Macaca fascicularis: one gene and its partners. The protein of the gene in region 1 purifies or fractionates together with the protein of each later gene. This does not show direct contact. Links are inferred from orthologs where the notes say so. Each region holds a gene or a part of one and is shown in the gene's direction. Other genes may lie near its edges.

What was found. The genes of interacting proteins can lie anywhere in the genome.
Region 2: the proteins of UBR5 (region 1) and DYRK2 purify together in Homo sapiens (affinity purification with western blotting; 3 studies listed by BioGRID and IntAct, with this or other methods). This does not show direct contact. The link is inferred for Macaca fascicularis from reciprocal best matches to the Homo sapiens genes UBR5 and DYRK2.
Region 3: the proteins of UBR5 (region 1) and CEP78 purify together in Homo sapiens (affinity purification with western blotting; 3 studies listed by BioGRID, with this or other methods). This does not show direct contact. The link is inferred for Macaca fascicularis from reciprocal best matches to the Homo sapiens genes UBR5 and CEP78.

What each region holds. Positions count from the first base shown.
Region 1 is NC_088382.1:111,883,595-111,888,686, reverse strand, and holds part of UBR5 (E3 ubiquitin-protein ligase UBR5), read left to right. Parts: intron 1-788; coding exon 789-909; intron 910-1,010; coding exon 1,011-1,115; intron 1,116-3,880; coding exon 3,881-4,124; intron 4,125-5,092. UniProt on the Homo sapiens protein: E3 ubiquitin-protein ligase involved in different protein quality control pathways in the cytoplasm and nucleus. Mainly acts as a ubiquitin chain elongator that extends pre-ubiquitinated substrates.
Region 2 is NC_088385.1:74,411,782-74,416,873, forward strand, and holds part of DYRK2 (dual specificity tyrosine-phosphorylation-regulated kinase 2), read left to right. Parts: intron 1-2,818; coding exon 2,819-4,426; 3' UTR 4,427-5,092. UniProt on the Homo sapiens protein: Serine/threonine-protein kinase involved in the regulation of the mitotic cell cycle, cell proliferation, apoptosis, organization of the cytoskeleton and neurite outgrowth. Functions in part via its role in ubiquitin-dependent proteasomal protein degradation.
Region 3 is NC_088389.1:108,871,809-108,876,900, forward strand, and holds part of CEP78 (centrosomal protein of 78 kDa), read left to right. Parts: intron 1-149; coding exon 150-214; intron 215-620; coding exon 621-732; intron 733-2,111; coding exon of another isoform or gene 2,112-2,263; exon of another isoform or gene 2,264-2,603; intron 2,604-3,784; coding exon 3,785-3,920; intron 3,921-5,089; coding exon 5,090-5,092. UniProt on the Homo sapiens protein: Centriole wall protein that localizes to mature centrioles and regulates centriole and cilia biogenesis. Involved in centrosome duplication: required for efficient PLK4 centrosomal localization and PLK4-induced overduplication of centrioles.

The sequences.
Region 1 (5,092 bases):
ATAAGGCAGGGGAGAATTGTGGACTTGGGTGGCCCAAGCTTCCTAGAAGCAGTATGGATTGAATTGAGGTGGTTAGAATGTGCAGAAACAGACTGGAGAGAGTTAGAGGTAAGGAGGCCAGTTAGAAAGGTGTTTGTCATTATTAATAGTTTCAGTTAGTTGGGGGAAAGATGCTGAGGCAGAATGTTGACTTTGGGGATAGAAAGGACATGGTGGAAAGGAAGAGAGACTTAAGATGGACTTGATTACTTTGATGGAACAGGAGGAAGAAAAATTAAAATCTGCTCTAAGTCAGGGCATTAGGGAAAGAGATGGTACTATTGAAAAAAAATCAGAATTGTCATTGTGGTGAAGAAGCCATATTAAGTTTTAGCCATGCTGAGTTTGAATTGAGCATCATCGACGTGGACATATTTATTTAACAAATGGAAATTCTGGTTCATGGTGCAAGTTTGAAGTAGAGGTGAATCTGGGAGTCACCTAAATGGAGATGGACATTGGACTTTAAGGAGAGGAGATAAAATGAAAGATGAAGGTAAGACATAGCCCAGGGATTTATCCGTATGTAGAAGACAGAAGGAATAAGGGAGGAAAAATAATAAGTTCTGTGGGGAACAAGTAGCTATGGAAAAGTTCTCTGTTAGGATGCAGTTTGAAGAAGTTAAGACCTCAGAATATTAAAAAAAATAAATAAAGTAAGTTACTACCATTGAACGAAAAACATCAGTCTTTGAAATTGGCTAAAGTATTTCCTCCCCGCCCCGCCCCTTCCCTTAAACTTCTTACAGGCCACAGTGTAGCTTTATGGGAATGGTTATTTCCCATGATATGCTGCTAGGACGTTGGCGCCTTTCTTTAGAACTGTTCGGCAGGGTATTCATGGAAGATGTTGGAGCAGAACCTGGATCAGTATGTATTTTGTGCACTTTAAATTCCATTCTGCCTGATGAGCACATATTTCAGGGAATAATCTGTCATGCTTTTTTTTTTTTTTTTTTTTTTTTTTTAAGATCCTGACTGAATTGGGTGGTTTTGAGGTAAAAGAATCAAAATTCCGTAGAGAAATGGAAAAACTGAGAAACCAGCAGTCAAGAGATTTATCACTAGAGGTAAAGGTATTTAGATTTTCTTATACTATACCTGTAGCATGCTATTTATATAAATTTTAAAACATACAAAATAACAGTAGCTTTACTTAGGTATATGTACTTATAATTAAAAAATTAAAGAAAATAAAAGACATGTTAAACTGCCAAATTTATTTTTTATTTGTGTGTGTGTGTGTGTGTGGTTTCTTTTTATTTTTTTCTTATTGTAACCATCAAATTTAGAATAGTGGTTTTCTCTGGCAGTTTGGTTCCCTAGCATCCTCTATGAATTTTTTTGTTTTAGTTTTTAAGTATCATTATGCATGCCTTGATTTAAAGATTTTTTTATGTATTTAATTCCATTGAGATTATTATTCATATTGATGCTCAAATTGTGTCTTCTTTGGCTAATGGGAGTCTTGAGTCAATTTTGATTCCTCAGTCCTTTTGGCATTGGCCCAGTAATTTTTGATAACTTTCTTACTTCCTGGTATGTTTCATCTTGTGCATTTCCTGTCGCAGACCTTAAATCAGCCATTTCTTAAAGTAGCCTTGATTCCTTTTAGTAGGAAATTGTGTTTTGAGATTACAGTCTGTGCTCTAAGATTGCAAATTGCTACTGGGTTGATCATGGTTTCTAGGCCTTTTTAATTGATAACAGTTTGGCAGTGCATTTTATTTTGTTCTTTTTTTAAAAAAATAAAATAATGAATTAATATTGATACTCCCAATTCAAATTCAAGATGTAGGACCACAAGGTTGTTTTTGTTATTTTTGCTTTTTAGATTTTTTTTTTTTTTTTTTTTTTGAGGCGGAGTCTTGCTTTGTCACCCAGGCCAGAGCACAGTGGCATGATCTTGGCTCACTGCAACCTCCACCTCTTGGGTTCAGGAGACTCTCCTGCTTCAGCCTCCTGAGTAGCTGGGATTACAGGTGTCTGCAACCATGCCTGGCTAATTTTTGTATTTTTAATAGAGACAGGGTTTCACCATGTTGGCCAGGCTGGTCTCAAACTCCCGACCTCAGGTGATCCACCTGCCCTGGCCTCCCAAAGTGCTGGGATTAGAGGTGTGAGCCACCACACCTGGCCTTGCTTCTTAGATCTTAAGTCTTTATCTCCTTTCTTTCAGACTGAATATCCAACTTCCCAACAACATTAATCAAATTACTCATTTGTTTTAATGCCACAACATACACAGTAGCAGTCAGAATTACATCACTGGAATCTGAGGTGGAAGGATGGCTTGAGTCCAGGAATTCGAGGACAGCCTGGGCAACATAATGTGAGAGACTCTGTCTCTTAAAAAGAATTATAACATCAACACTACCACTAACAAAATGATTATTCAAAATAATTAAAGATTTATTTGCAGATGTTTGTACTTAGATCATATACAGTTAGAGATAACACAGTTAAAGGAGGTTTATTTTAAAGTCACTTGAAGTAATTTCTCTTTGTAGGTTTTGCTACCAGCTCTATATGATTAGGACCTTTTGTTTCATTTTGCTTTCAGATTTTAGGGATTCCTTTTTCCTCTTTTGGTTTTATTTTGTAATCAATGTAAAATATCTACAGTGTGGCAGAGTGAACTCTACAAAAGAATGAATATAAGTCTATTCTTGTCTCTTTTACCCATTTTTTCAAGTTTATTTCCTTCCCTCCCTTTTAAAACATATAAGCATATGTGTGTATTAATTACATACTTCCTCCCACCTCCCCAAACATACTATACATTTTATTCCATCTTGCTTTTCTCAGTTAATAGTATATCCCAGAGAAAATGTGAAATGTTCTACCTTCCTTTTATAGCTGCTTAATATACTGCACTTTTATGGTTGTTATCGCAGTTTTTGCAGCTAATCCCTTACAGGCTAGGTATTCAGGCTTATTTCCAGTCTTTTGCTATTACAGATAGTGTGATGAATGGCCTTGTGTTTTTTTGCTAGTGTGTCCCTGAGATAGATGCTTAGACGTGGAATTGCTGGGTCAAAGAGTATGTGCATGTGATTTTGCTAGACATTGACGGATACTTCTGCATAGCAGTTGCATAATTTTGCATTTTCACCATCAATGTGAGAATGCATGATTTGCCTCAGTCTTGCCAGCATTTGTTAAACTTCTAGATTTTTGCTAATCTGATAGGTAAGAAATAGCACCTCAGTATAGTTTTAATTTGAATTTATCTTATTTTGAGCAAAGTTAAACATTATTTCATATATTTAGGATAGTTGTATTTAACTCAGTTGATGTGCCCATTTTTTTTTCTAAGTTGGCTTTCTCTCAGATTTCAGAGGCTTTTTATGTAGCTACAGGTGATAGACACACTCATTAATGATTATATATATCTTTGTGAGAAAAGATGCAAACAATTTTCCAGTTTGGTTAATTCCCCTCCAGCCTCCCGCCCACTTAGCTTGTCATCAAGGAATTCATCTGTGTTTTTTTCTGTTTTTTTTTTTTTTAACATCTCTGATTATTTGGTATTCTGGTGTATCCCAAAATTGAACAAGATTATTGTTTTCCAATAAACCTTTGAAAGAAAGTGTTAGAATTGAATTAAATTCTGTTGTCCTGATTTAATTTGCAAGACCTTCTTGTGTGCTTTAATGGTTTAAACATTGTATTTCGTAATGGATAAGCTTCTGAGAACTCTGATTACTTTGTAGTTTTTTAAACTCTCAAGGAAAAGCTAAAACTAGATTTTCAGATTGAAAATAGAAAAATTCAAACTACAAAAAATTCTAACTACTTTCCAACATTGAATTTACTACTTCTTGATGTGTTTTAATAGGTTGATCGGGATCGAGATCTTCTCATTCAGCAGACTATGAGGCAGCTTAACAATCACTTTGGTCGAAGATGTGCTACTACACCAATGGCTGTACACAGAGTAAAAGTCACATTTAAGGATGAGCCAGGAGAGGGCAGTGGTGTAGCACGAAGTTTTTATACAGCCATTGCACAAGCATTTTTGTCAAATGAAAAATTGCCAAATCTAGAGTGTATCCAAAATGCCAACAAAGGCACCCACACAAGTAAGTAGTCCACAGATAACAAGCATCATAAAACTTCTTTCCTTGTCCCTCAAACCAACAGTGGTAATCATGGTTTATATATGTGTGAGAGTATAAATTTACGTTTTTACATAATTTTATTCTAGATTGATTTAATGTTATTTAAACTATTCCAATTGACGACAATTTCTTACTTTACGTTTATTTTGATAAATTTATTTTGATAAATGTTTGTGATTGTACTAGTTTTTCATCTCAATTGTTACATGTTGCGGGTGGGTAAGAGGTTGTAAAATACATAGTGCTATAAAAATTCACTGAGCAAATTGCAGCATTTCCTCCACTTCAGTATTTAACCCACATGGATATTTGAGAAGAAAATGCTATTCTAAGAGCAGTGCTGTTCAAATTACGATTTCCAAACTTGTTGCTGTTCCCCAGTGAGAAGAAGATTTTGCAGCCAAGTGTAAATCAACTGTGTCACTAAGCTCACTGTTTAGTAAGACTTACAAAAAAAAAAAGAATCCTGGTGCAAGCTTATTACCTCACTGAGGATCAGCACTTTGGGGTTAGGACTCTTAGCTAAGTTTTAAGATTATAATGAGCAAATTTTAAAATTTGTGAAAATTACAAAAGCCTTAGGAGATTCACATCAAGTAGGAGCAGAAGATTATCAGACTTGTAGGTGGATGGAGACTGAATGAGCTATAGAAAGGATTGATGGTGAGAGTTCCTCAGCTTTTCATCAGTTTCACCATTTCACTTTCTTTAATGTTATAATGAAAAGAAATGAGATGTGAATGAGGAAACTCGAGGAAACTGGGAAATCATAACATTTCAAAACTATCTTTTTTGTACACTTACAGGAAACCGTACTCTGGCTTGGGCTTAGGAATTTAAACATAATCATAGATAATACTCTGGTTGCCTTTAATGCTTTCATGCCCAAAACTAAGAACAGATGATATTTAAATGAGTCTAGTCATGTA
Region 2 (5,092 bases), on another chromosome or scaffold:
CGAATGGAAGGACTCAGATCATTTAGCCTCTACATTTTAGAGCCTTGTGTTCTTACTGGTAAGTTCTTGCATTAGCTATGGAAATAGGTTACAGCCATGGGCCTTGGGCAAAAAGCAAGAGTGGTCTCAGGTTGAGATTTTTAAATGGTTAACTCTAGAAGCACTATGGAGAAGAGATTTGAGGAATTCTAGACTTAGAATTCTAGACTTACGATGCTGCCTCAGTTGTCCCAGTGAAAGACATCAGGAGAGTGAGATGAGGCAGTGTTGATGGAAAGGGCGTGGGATAGTAATGATGCATCTTAGGTGAGGGAGGTGTTGAGAGGTTTTCCAGGCGCACAGTGCTGAGGATTCATTTGCAGGTGGATAGCCTGAGTGACTGACTACATGGAGGGGAAGCCTTCTGTTGATCAAAAATGGAGGATTATGGGAGTGGGAAACCAGTTTGGTAGAAAAATAATGAGTTAAGTTTGAGTTGCTTATGGGAGAGGGAGCTGATTGATAGTTGGATATGTGTGTCTTGCACTCAGGAGATAGCACCTTGGCAGGTCTGAGTTCAAGGAACAAATGTGCAAACCTCAGGCCATGGGCAGTTGCTGAAGCCCTGGCTGTGTTCAGGATCAGTTGCAGGGGCTTATGGGAGTAAGAAGCCACGAGAATCGAGGCTTGAACCCTGGGGAACTCTTGAACCCACCTAAGGTTAGGTGAACCAGTAGTTGATGCTGCAAAGGAGACCAAGAGAAGGCATTTGGAGATATAGAAGATGGTCGTTTCTTGGCAGTCTCATTAGTTTTAGTTACTAAAACATTTGTGAGCATGTATTAAATTATGCGAAACACAGAAATTGCTTAAAGTAAATTTTGGAGGCTTGGTTTTACTTTGCTGTGTTTTTAGAAATCTCTAAAGCCCCAAGGTTAATTTTGTCCTAATGAAGCAGCTTTGTGCTTTTTAATAGCATGTATACAGGTAATGTGGATTTTTCTTCTGAAATATCACCACTCCACTCTGAAGATAATGGTTCTTTAGGAGAGAGATATTTTGATTCAGGCCCCTTTATTCCCTAGTGTTTGAAAGACCACAGTGGACAGGAGAGGGTGCAGAGAGCGAGGCTGGGGAAGAAAAGCATTGGACAAGCCTGTACCTCTTGTATATATGCCCGAGACTTGCCTGATTCATTTTTATGGACTGCCCTGCTTTTGACATAGAACAAGGGTAAAATAACCTTTCTAGCTACTCTTACTGAATATAAGATCAGCTAGCACGGAGTATCATCTATGAGTTTAATAAAAAAGCTCAGTTATAAGTCTGAGAAATGATATCCCTGAGCCTATATGAAGTCACAGTCAGACAGGCCCCAAGTATTGTCTTCTGTTTTGTTTTAGTTAGAAGTGGGCAGAGAGGAAGCTCACTCTCCACACAGTCATTGTGCATATTATGTATCCAATAAAGAAAATGTGAACATCTTAGTCTGTTAGTAAGAAGGAGTTAGAATTTCATTTTATAATCCAGGTGTTCCCAAATCATTTTTGAATTACTATGTTACATATACACAGCCCTTCTGCTCTTTCAGTAGTAGGTAAAGCCCTAAAAGTAGGATTTAAAAGAGATAATAGAAAAAATACTGATGGCAACAGACTTCATCTAGTTAGTTGTAAGCTCCTGGAGGGCAGGGACTCTGTCACTTTGGCAGCCAGCCTTCTGTTAACACCAGTTGAATGAATGAGGTGGATTGTGATGACAAGTTGATGTAAGATTTCATACAAAAATCACCTCCCAGGCTGCTTTAAGACTTGGGGTTGTCCAAGGCAGGAATTCCTAACTGGGAGAGGATCCTGGCTGCCAGTCCTCTCCTACCCATTACCTCTCAGCAGTCATAATGCTTAAAGGAAATCCCAAGAAGATTGTCAGTAGAGGGCTGGGGCCCCTTGGCTCACACCATTGGTAGAGTTTAGACAGGAATGCTCAGGGATGGCATGCGTACCTGAAACAAGAGGTTGCTGCTTTGGATTCCTGTTTGGAAACCTCGAGTATCCCAGCAGGTCGTAGAAATGGACATCTTCAGAGAGCTGAGCCCCTGACCCCTCTGGAGGAAGGCCAAACAGTGTGGTTGTTGCTTGGTTTGTTGGGCTGAATGCCTTAAATGGTTATTACAGTTAGTAAAGCCTGGGAACTTTTAAAAATAGGTTCGGGGTTTATAAGACACTGTGGCGCATATCTACATGGGAATCTTTCAAGCCTAAAACACAGGGTTTTTGTTTTTGTCACTGGATCATGTGTGCACTTAGGTTTCATCAGATTTTCAAGGAAAGGGGAAGTCCTGGTGATGAAGTGTTTTCAGGATAGAGCTCTAGGTATTAGGGGAAGAGTAGTGAACAAGACAGACATGGTCCCTGTCCTCATGTTAATAAACTACTAGATGAAATATGAAAGGTGCTGTAATCTGGGGGTGGAGGAGCCAACATAGAGTCTTATGTGTGCATGTTTTTTCTGTATCCTGTTTCATTTTTATATCAAGTGTGGATTGAGTGGAACATCTATGATGTGCCAGGCCCTATACTAAGTGTCAGATATAGAATGATAAAGTTATGGTCTCTGCCTCCGTGGGGAACCCTGAATATGTACAGCAAACCATCTTCTCTGTTAGGCATGGCATTTATGAGGTCCTTTTTTCAGGATCACATGTTTTGTGGCCTTTACTCAATCCAAGTGGGATTTTGTAAAGGTAGGGTGGAGGGGGTGGTTGCTGATGGGGGTTAATTATACCCCGTGTGAACAGACACCACTTCTTTTCTATTTATATTTCCTGTCTGAATTCCAGATTGGCGGCAGTAAGCACACAATGAATGATCACCTGCATGTTGGCAGCCACCCTCATGGACAGATCCAGGTTCAACAGCTGTTTGAGGATAACAGTAACAAGCGGACAGTGCTCACGACACAACCAAATGGGCTTACAACAGTGGGCAAAACGGGCTTGCCAGTGGTGCCAGAGCGGCAGCTGGACAGCATTCATAGACGGCAGGGGAGCTCCACGTCTCTGAAGTCCATGGAAGGCATGGGGAAGGTGAAAGCCACCCCCATGACACCTGAACAAGCAATGAAGCAATACATGCAAAAACTCACAGCCTTTGAACACCATGAGATTTTCAGCTACCCTGAAATATATTTCTTGGGTCTAAATGCTAAGAAGCGCCAGGGCATGACAGGTGGGCCCAACAATGGTGGCTATGATGATGACCAGGGATCATATGTGCAGGTGCCCCATGATCACGTGGCTTACAGGTACGAGGTCCTCAAGGTCATTGGGAAGGGGAGCTTTGGGCAGGTGGTCAAGGCCTACGATCACAAAGTCCACCAGCACGTGGCCCTAAAGATGGTGCGGAATGAGAAGCGCTTCCACAGGCAAGCAGCAGAGGAGATCCGAATCCTGGAACACCTGCGGAAGCAGGACAAGGATAACACAATGAATGTCATCCATATGCTGGAGAATTTCACCTTCCGCAACCACATCTGCATGACGTTTGAGCTGCTGAGCATGAACCTCTATGAGCTCATCAAGAAGAATAAATTCCAGGGCTTCAGCCTGCCTTTGGTTCGCAAGTTTGCCCACTCGATTCTGCAGTGCTTGGATGCTTTGCACAAAAACAGAATAATTCACTGTGACCTTAAGCCCGAGAACATTTTGTTAAAGCAGCAGGGTAGAAGTGGTATTAAAGTGATTGATTTTGGCTCCAGTTGTTACGAGCATCAGCGTGTCTACACGTACATCCAGTCGCGTTTTTACCGGGCTCCAGAAGTGATCCTTGGGGCCAGGTATGGCATGCCCATTGACATGTGGAGCCTGGGCTGCATTTTAGCTGAGCTCCTGACGGGTTACCCCCTCTTGCCTGGGGAGGATGAAGGGGACCAGCTGGCCTGTATGATTGAACTGTTGGGCATGCCCTCGCAGAAACTGCTGGATGCGTCCAAACGAGCCAAAAATTTTGTGAGCTCCAAGGGTTACCCCCGTTACTGCACTGTCACGACTCTCTCAGATGGCTCTGTGGTCCTCAACGGAGGCCGTTCCCGGAGGGGGAAACTGAGGGGCCCACCGGAGAGCAGAGAGTGGGGGAACGCGCTGAAGGGGTGTGACGATCCCCTTTTCCTTGACTTCTTAAAACAGTGTTTAGAGTGGGATCCTGCAGTGCGCATGACCCCAGGCCAGGCTTTGCGGCACCCCTGGCTGAGGAGGCGATTGCCAAAGCCTCCCACCGGGGAGAAAACGTCAGTGAAAAGGATAACTGAGAGCACCGGTGCTATCACATCTATATCCAAGTTACCTCCACCTTCCAGCTCAGCTTCCAAACTGAGGACTAATTTGGCGCAGATGACAGATGCCAACGGGAATATTCAGCAGAGGACAGTGTTGCCAAAACTCGTTAGCTGAGCTCATGTCCCCTGATGCTGGTAATCTGAAAGATACAACTTTGCTGAGCCTTATTGGGTTGAAAAGGAGTAGCTCAGACCTGTTTTTATTTGCTCAATAACTCTACTCATTTGTATCTTTTCAGCACTTAATTTTAATGTAAGAAAGTTGTTCATTTTGTTTTTATCAATACATGAGGACAATGCTTTAAGTTTTTATACTTTCGGAAACTTTTTGTGTTCTAAAAGTACAATGAGCCTTACTGTATTTAGTGTGGCAGAATAATAACATCAGTGGCAGGCCATTGATTACTTCATGACTGCCACGCATTTACAGATTGGTGTCAAAGACATTCACTATGTTTTTATGGTTCATGTTATATCCTCCCCAGGGTGACAGCCCCGTAAGGCCCTCCTTTTCCCTCCATGCTCCAGGTCCATGCACAGGTGTAGCATGTCCTGCTTCCGTTTTTCATAAATTTGGGTGGTGGGGTAGTGGGAGGAGAACAGTCAGAATGAAAGTGATATCCTAAGAAAAACTGTACCTTAGAGATTTTTCTCTAGTGCTGAAACAAATACAAAATAAGATCCCCAAGGTTTAAACTGCCCAGTTAGCATTCTGACATTCTAAAAACTGGCAAAGCAGCTTTTAGTGGATAAATGGAAATGGAAACGTGTGTGTTCCTCC
Region 3 (5,092 bases), on another chromosome or scaffold:
CAAAGGGGGAAAAGATATATAATTACATTATATGGAATTCATATTTAATTTCATGGGAAAAGCAATAATTAGTTGGCTTTTGTTTTTAAATGGGAATAGCCGCTCATTGGGAAACAATTACTATAATTTCAATTTTTATTTTACTTTAGATCATTCTATGATGAAAGCAGTTATCAAAAAAGTTCTTCAGAATGGAAGCAGTGCTAAATCAGAGGTATATCATGTTTTATTTCTCTAGAAATAATTCTTATTTAATTGCTTTTCTTCTGGGATCTCACTATATTGCCCAATCTGGCCTCAAACTCCTGAGCTCAAGCGATCTTCCCCCTTCCCAGCTTCCTAGGTAGCTAGGATTCTAGGTATATACCACTGTACCCAGCTTTTTGTCTGTTTTTAATAAGATGAAACTATTAAGGCACTTTTCTGCCATCTTAAATTTACAGTCAAATCAAATGTCTTTTCTGTTTTTGTAAATACCATACGATTCTTTAATTTTGGGTCCCAGAACTGCTGATTGCAAACCTTTTATTAACTTAGAATATCTTAACAATTTCCATTTAAGATCTAACCCTCATAAATGATCTGTAACTGAAATGTAGTGTTTATTCTCTCTCTTTTAGTACCAGTGGATAACTTCTCCATCAGTGAAGGAACCATCCAAAACTGCTAAACAGAAAAAGAGAACTATAATTCTAGGAAGTGGTCACAAAGGAAAAGCTACTATTAGAATTGGTAACCTTTTTGGTCTTGGCTTTTTAATGCTACTAGTGTTCTAGTGTGTTAAAATCAAAATCTCTTCTCATTTATGATATTGACGGTAACAACCAATTTTGACTCTGTGCATATTATTAGGACTATAATTATTCTGATTATGAGAATTTATGGAATGTAGAAATAGTAAATGAATCATTAGGAAAGGGATGCTAGTGCTTCCATTTTAAAAATTACCCTTATTTGTTTTTCATACAACATTGATGATTTTAGATATGTTTTCTGATTGATGATTACTTCTGATACTTTGCAGTTGAAATTTGGGATGCACTTTGATGACAGTTTTAGCAGCAGTGCGTTTGTATGATTTTGTTGTTGTTGTTAATGAAAAATTATCCTTTCATACTATAGAAAACAAAATCTCTTCCCAGTTCCCTTTTTTCCCTTTGTTTCCTCCTCCTTCCTTGCAAATTCTTACCCAAAGTTGTTGAATCAGGTAGCACCTTGCTTCTTTCAATGATGAAAAAACCTTAAATCGTATGTAATCCTTATAAAACAATACTGCAGGTAAGTTTATTACCCAGAGATGGAACATTTTAGACAAACATTCCGTAAATGTTTGCTATTTATAGTTTATTTAATCTGCCAAATAACAGTCTAGAATTTTGAAATTGTCTATAATTTTGTGACAAAGAGTAATGAAAGAAAACTTTATAAACTCTTTATCAACTAATGACATAAATTTCACATTCTCCTGAATATATAAATTTGGTATAATCTAGTTCTACTGATATTTTCGTTTTGTTTTTAAAGAGTCTTTAACTTTTATTTTCTAGAACACATTATCTTTAGTCATAAGTAGCCTTTTTTTACTGATAAGAATGAGTGATAGTGGAATAAGTTAAGCCAAATCTAATATGAAAGTGACCTTTTCTTGTAAGTAACTTTGAATTTTGAAACAGTAAAACCATGAAGACTAATACAGAGGAAACAAAATAATTTTTTTATGTTTATAATCTGCCAGTTTCCCAGAAAAAGGTTTGTGGTGACTTTAGTTACATACCCTGTACATTACGATCACCAAACAATTAATACCAGATAATCTTTTATTTGGATGCTACTTGAAATTTTTAAAAGCTATCACTTGACAATATCACTGAACTAACTGTATGCTTAAAAATGGCTAAGATATAAAACAATTTAACATAAAATATAAAACATTGGAAATACTATAATTTTAGTAGCTAGTGGTATATAATTGGACATCATTGAATGAGAATTCAAAAAATCTTTTTTCTTAGCATGATTAAAGAAATTGGAAATGTAACTGAAGTTTACAAGCTCACTGAGCTATTTTAAGAGTAACTTTATTTCTTGGGCTTTTTTTGTATTTGCCTCAGTTATTTGGAGACACAGAGGTAAGCCAAATCAGTGTCTGGCTATATATTTAATAGGTGTCAGTGAGTATAGGGGTTATATAATTTATGTAAATTATGTTACATTCATATTGCAATTACGTGTGCAGACAGAAGATAGGAAACTTCCACTATAATTTTTTTCATCATCTAACAAGATAAGTAAATTAGTTTGGTTTTAACTAAAATTTCTGTTTGTGGCTGGGCACGGTGGCTCACGCCTGTAATCCCAGCACTTTAGGAGGCCGAGGCGGGTGGATTGCCTAAACTCAGGAGTTGGAGACCAGCCTGGGCAACTTCACTAAAATACAAAAAATTAGCTGAGTGTGGCGGTGTGCATCTGTAATCCCAGCTTCTCGGGAGGCTGAGGCAGAAGAACTGCTTGAACCTGGGAGGTGGAGGTTGCAGTGAGCCAAGATTGTGCCACTACACTCTAGCCTGGGCGACAGAGTGAGACTCCTCCAAAAAAAAAAAAAATTATATTTGCATTACTTTCTACACACACCACAAACAATACACAGGAACATTTTTTTGGGATAATTATATTAATAACAGCATACAATGAACTGAGCTCCTATATATTTTAAGAGGTATATAAATTTGTCCAGAGAAATGGCACAACATGATGTGGTGATTATCAATAAGCTACACTATGGGAAATATTTGTCCTGTATTACCACATACACGTTCTTGTAGATGCTGTCCTAAAGCTGCTAAAGTAGATCTTACATAGTAAAATAGATTGGAAGGATAAATATAACCATTTTAATAAACTTGTATTATTTGTTCTCAGCGATATCAGAAACATATATTTAAATGTGAATTTTAATATATAATTTGTTTTAAATAAAATATTAATAGGTCTAGCTTTTGCTACCAAATGTTTCATAAAAAGATACTTGACTCTTTAATACTGAAATGTAGGATAAGACTTTATGCTTCATTCTTTTATCCAATAGGTTTCATGTGTTTGTTTTGTATTCTATAAAAGCAAATGAACACTGAAGGTGGACAGACATACAGGCGGCAACATTGACTCACCTACTACCCAGCTACCTTCAGTCTTACAACTTGGATAGTTTTTACATTATAAAATTAGTCCAGCTACCTTCACTCTTATAACTTGGATAATTTTTCCATGATAAAATTAATCTCACATTGAAATTTTGGTCCAATTCAGAAGGTTCTGTTTGGTAGGAGTCATGGGTATATCTATGTTCTGTCCTTGAGATTCAGGAATGCCAAAAATATTCTGAGATTTAATAACAATATTTCTGCATAATGCATAATGAAATGTATCACATATAATCTTTCATTCTTTGGGTTACATGTTTTATTTACTTTTTCATGCTCTGCATGTCTCATATATTAAAGTTATATTTTAGTTAAAGTGATAACTTGTTACTCTAGACAACTTATATTTTTAATTTTTATATATTTATTACATTTTTAACTTATATTTAAATATATTAAAATATATTTATTCTTATATTTATTAGTGGCCTATGTAAAAAGATATTTACAAATTGATCCTGATTTAATGGCCTTGGTGTCATTGTCAGGTGCCCATTGGTATTCTTTTAAGAGTATGCACATGTGCTAATTAATCTGTAGACCTTTAGTGCATCTTAATTCTTTCTTTTTAACACTTTCTCAAGTAGGATTGGCTACAAAGAAACCTGTAAGTAGTGGCAGAAAACACTCCCTTGGTAAAGAATATGCGCCCGCACCTCTACCACCTGGTGTGTCTGGTTTCTTGCCATGGCGTACTGCAGAACGTGCAAAAAGGCACAGGTAGGGTATTTTTATTTTCTATCTTTTAGGATAAAAATGGGATTCAAAATTCTTTATTTTGGAGCTTCTATTATGTGAGAGTTCTCTGCTTATGTCTATAGGGTAAAAATGACTCATGTGGCTTCTGCCTCATGAATCCTTTAAGGAAGAAAAACAAAAAATAATCTTAAGTAGGGTTTCAAGTTATTAAGTGTCACAGCAAGCTGTATCCTTGTGGGAGTCCAGAGGAAACTGAAATTATCTCCAGTTGTGCAGGTGAGGAAAGGTTTCATTTAAAGCATGTGCAGTTAAACCAAGTCCTATAGGACAGAAGTAGGAATTTGGATATTTAAGATTGGGGAAAGGGCATTGTAAAGCATAGGAGAGTGTTGATTAGACTTAATCTAACTCAGCCAACTGGCCTAACTCATTTTAGTGAATCATATTTAGTGAATCAAACCAGATATAACTAGTTTTAGCCAGTTACCTAGGGGGTAGCTATTCATAGTAATTTTTGTCAGAAGAATGTTTTTAAAATGTTGTACTATAATTTTATGCTTAATAAATGAATTAGATTACTATAAATTGTTTTCAAATGACTTTTAGTATTCAAGAAATTGGAGATTAACAATTGCTTAAGAAGACAGAGAACTGATTTTAAATAGGACTGGAAATAGGTGCTATGTGAAATATCTGTTCAGTTGCTCAGATTAAATTGAATATGTATAATCTTTATTAGGCAACTGATGACTATACTTATTTTACAACTGTAATGTGAATTATTATTGCATAAACTGTAGTGCTGAGGCCCTGGTCTTTACACTTACATTTAATAACTGCAGTTTCATGTCTTCTTGAGATACTTACTCATTTCAAGTCCCATCTTGGTCACAAGGAGTTGTGAATTAGAGAACAATTAATATCACCAGTTAAAGAAGTTAAATTGGAAATCTGAACCATCCTGAACATAAGAACTACATGCATCTTCAGAGACTTATCCCAAAGCCATTCTGCTAAATTGTTTAATTTTCTCCATAGCAGAGTTTTCCAGGCCCTTATCTGGAGGTGATTTATTTCTATGCACAGTTATGTATGGATAGTCTACATAATACTAGCAAGTGTTATTACCTAGTGTTAACTGGTGGTGTATTTACATCAAAATATAACTTAATTTATCAATATCTCTTTAGGGG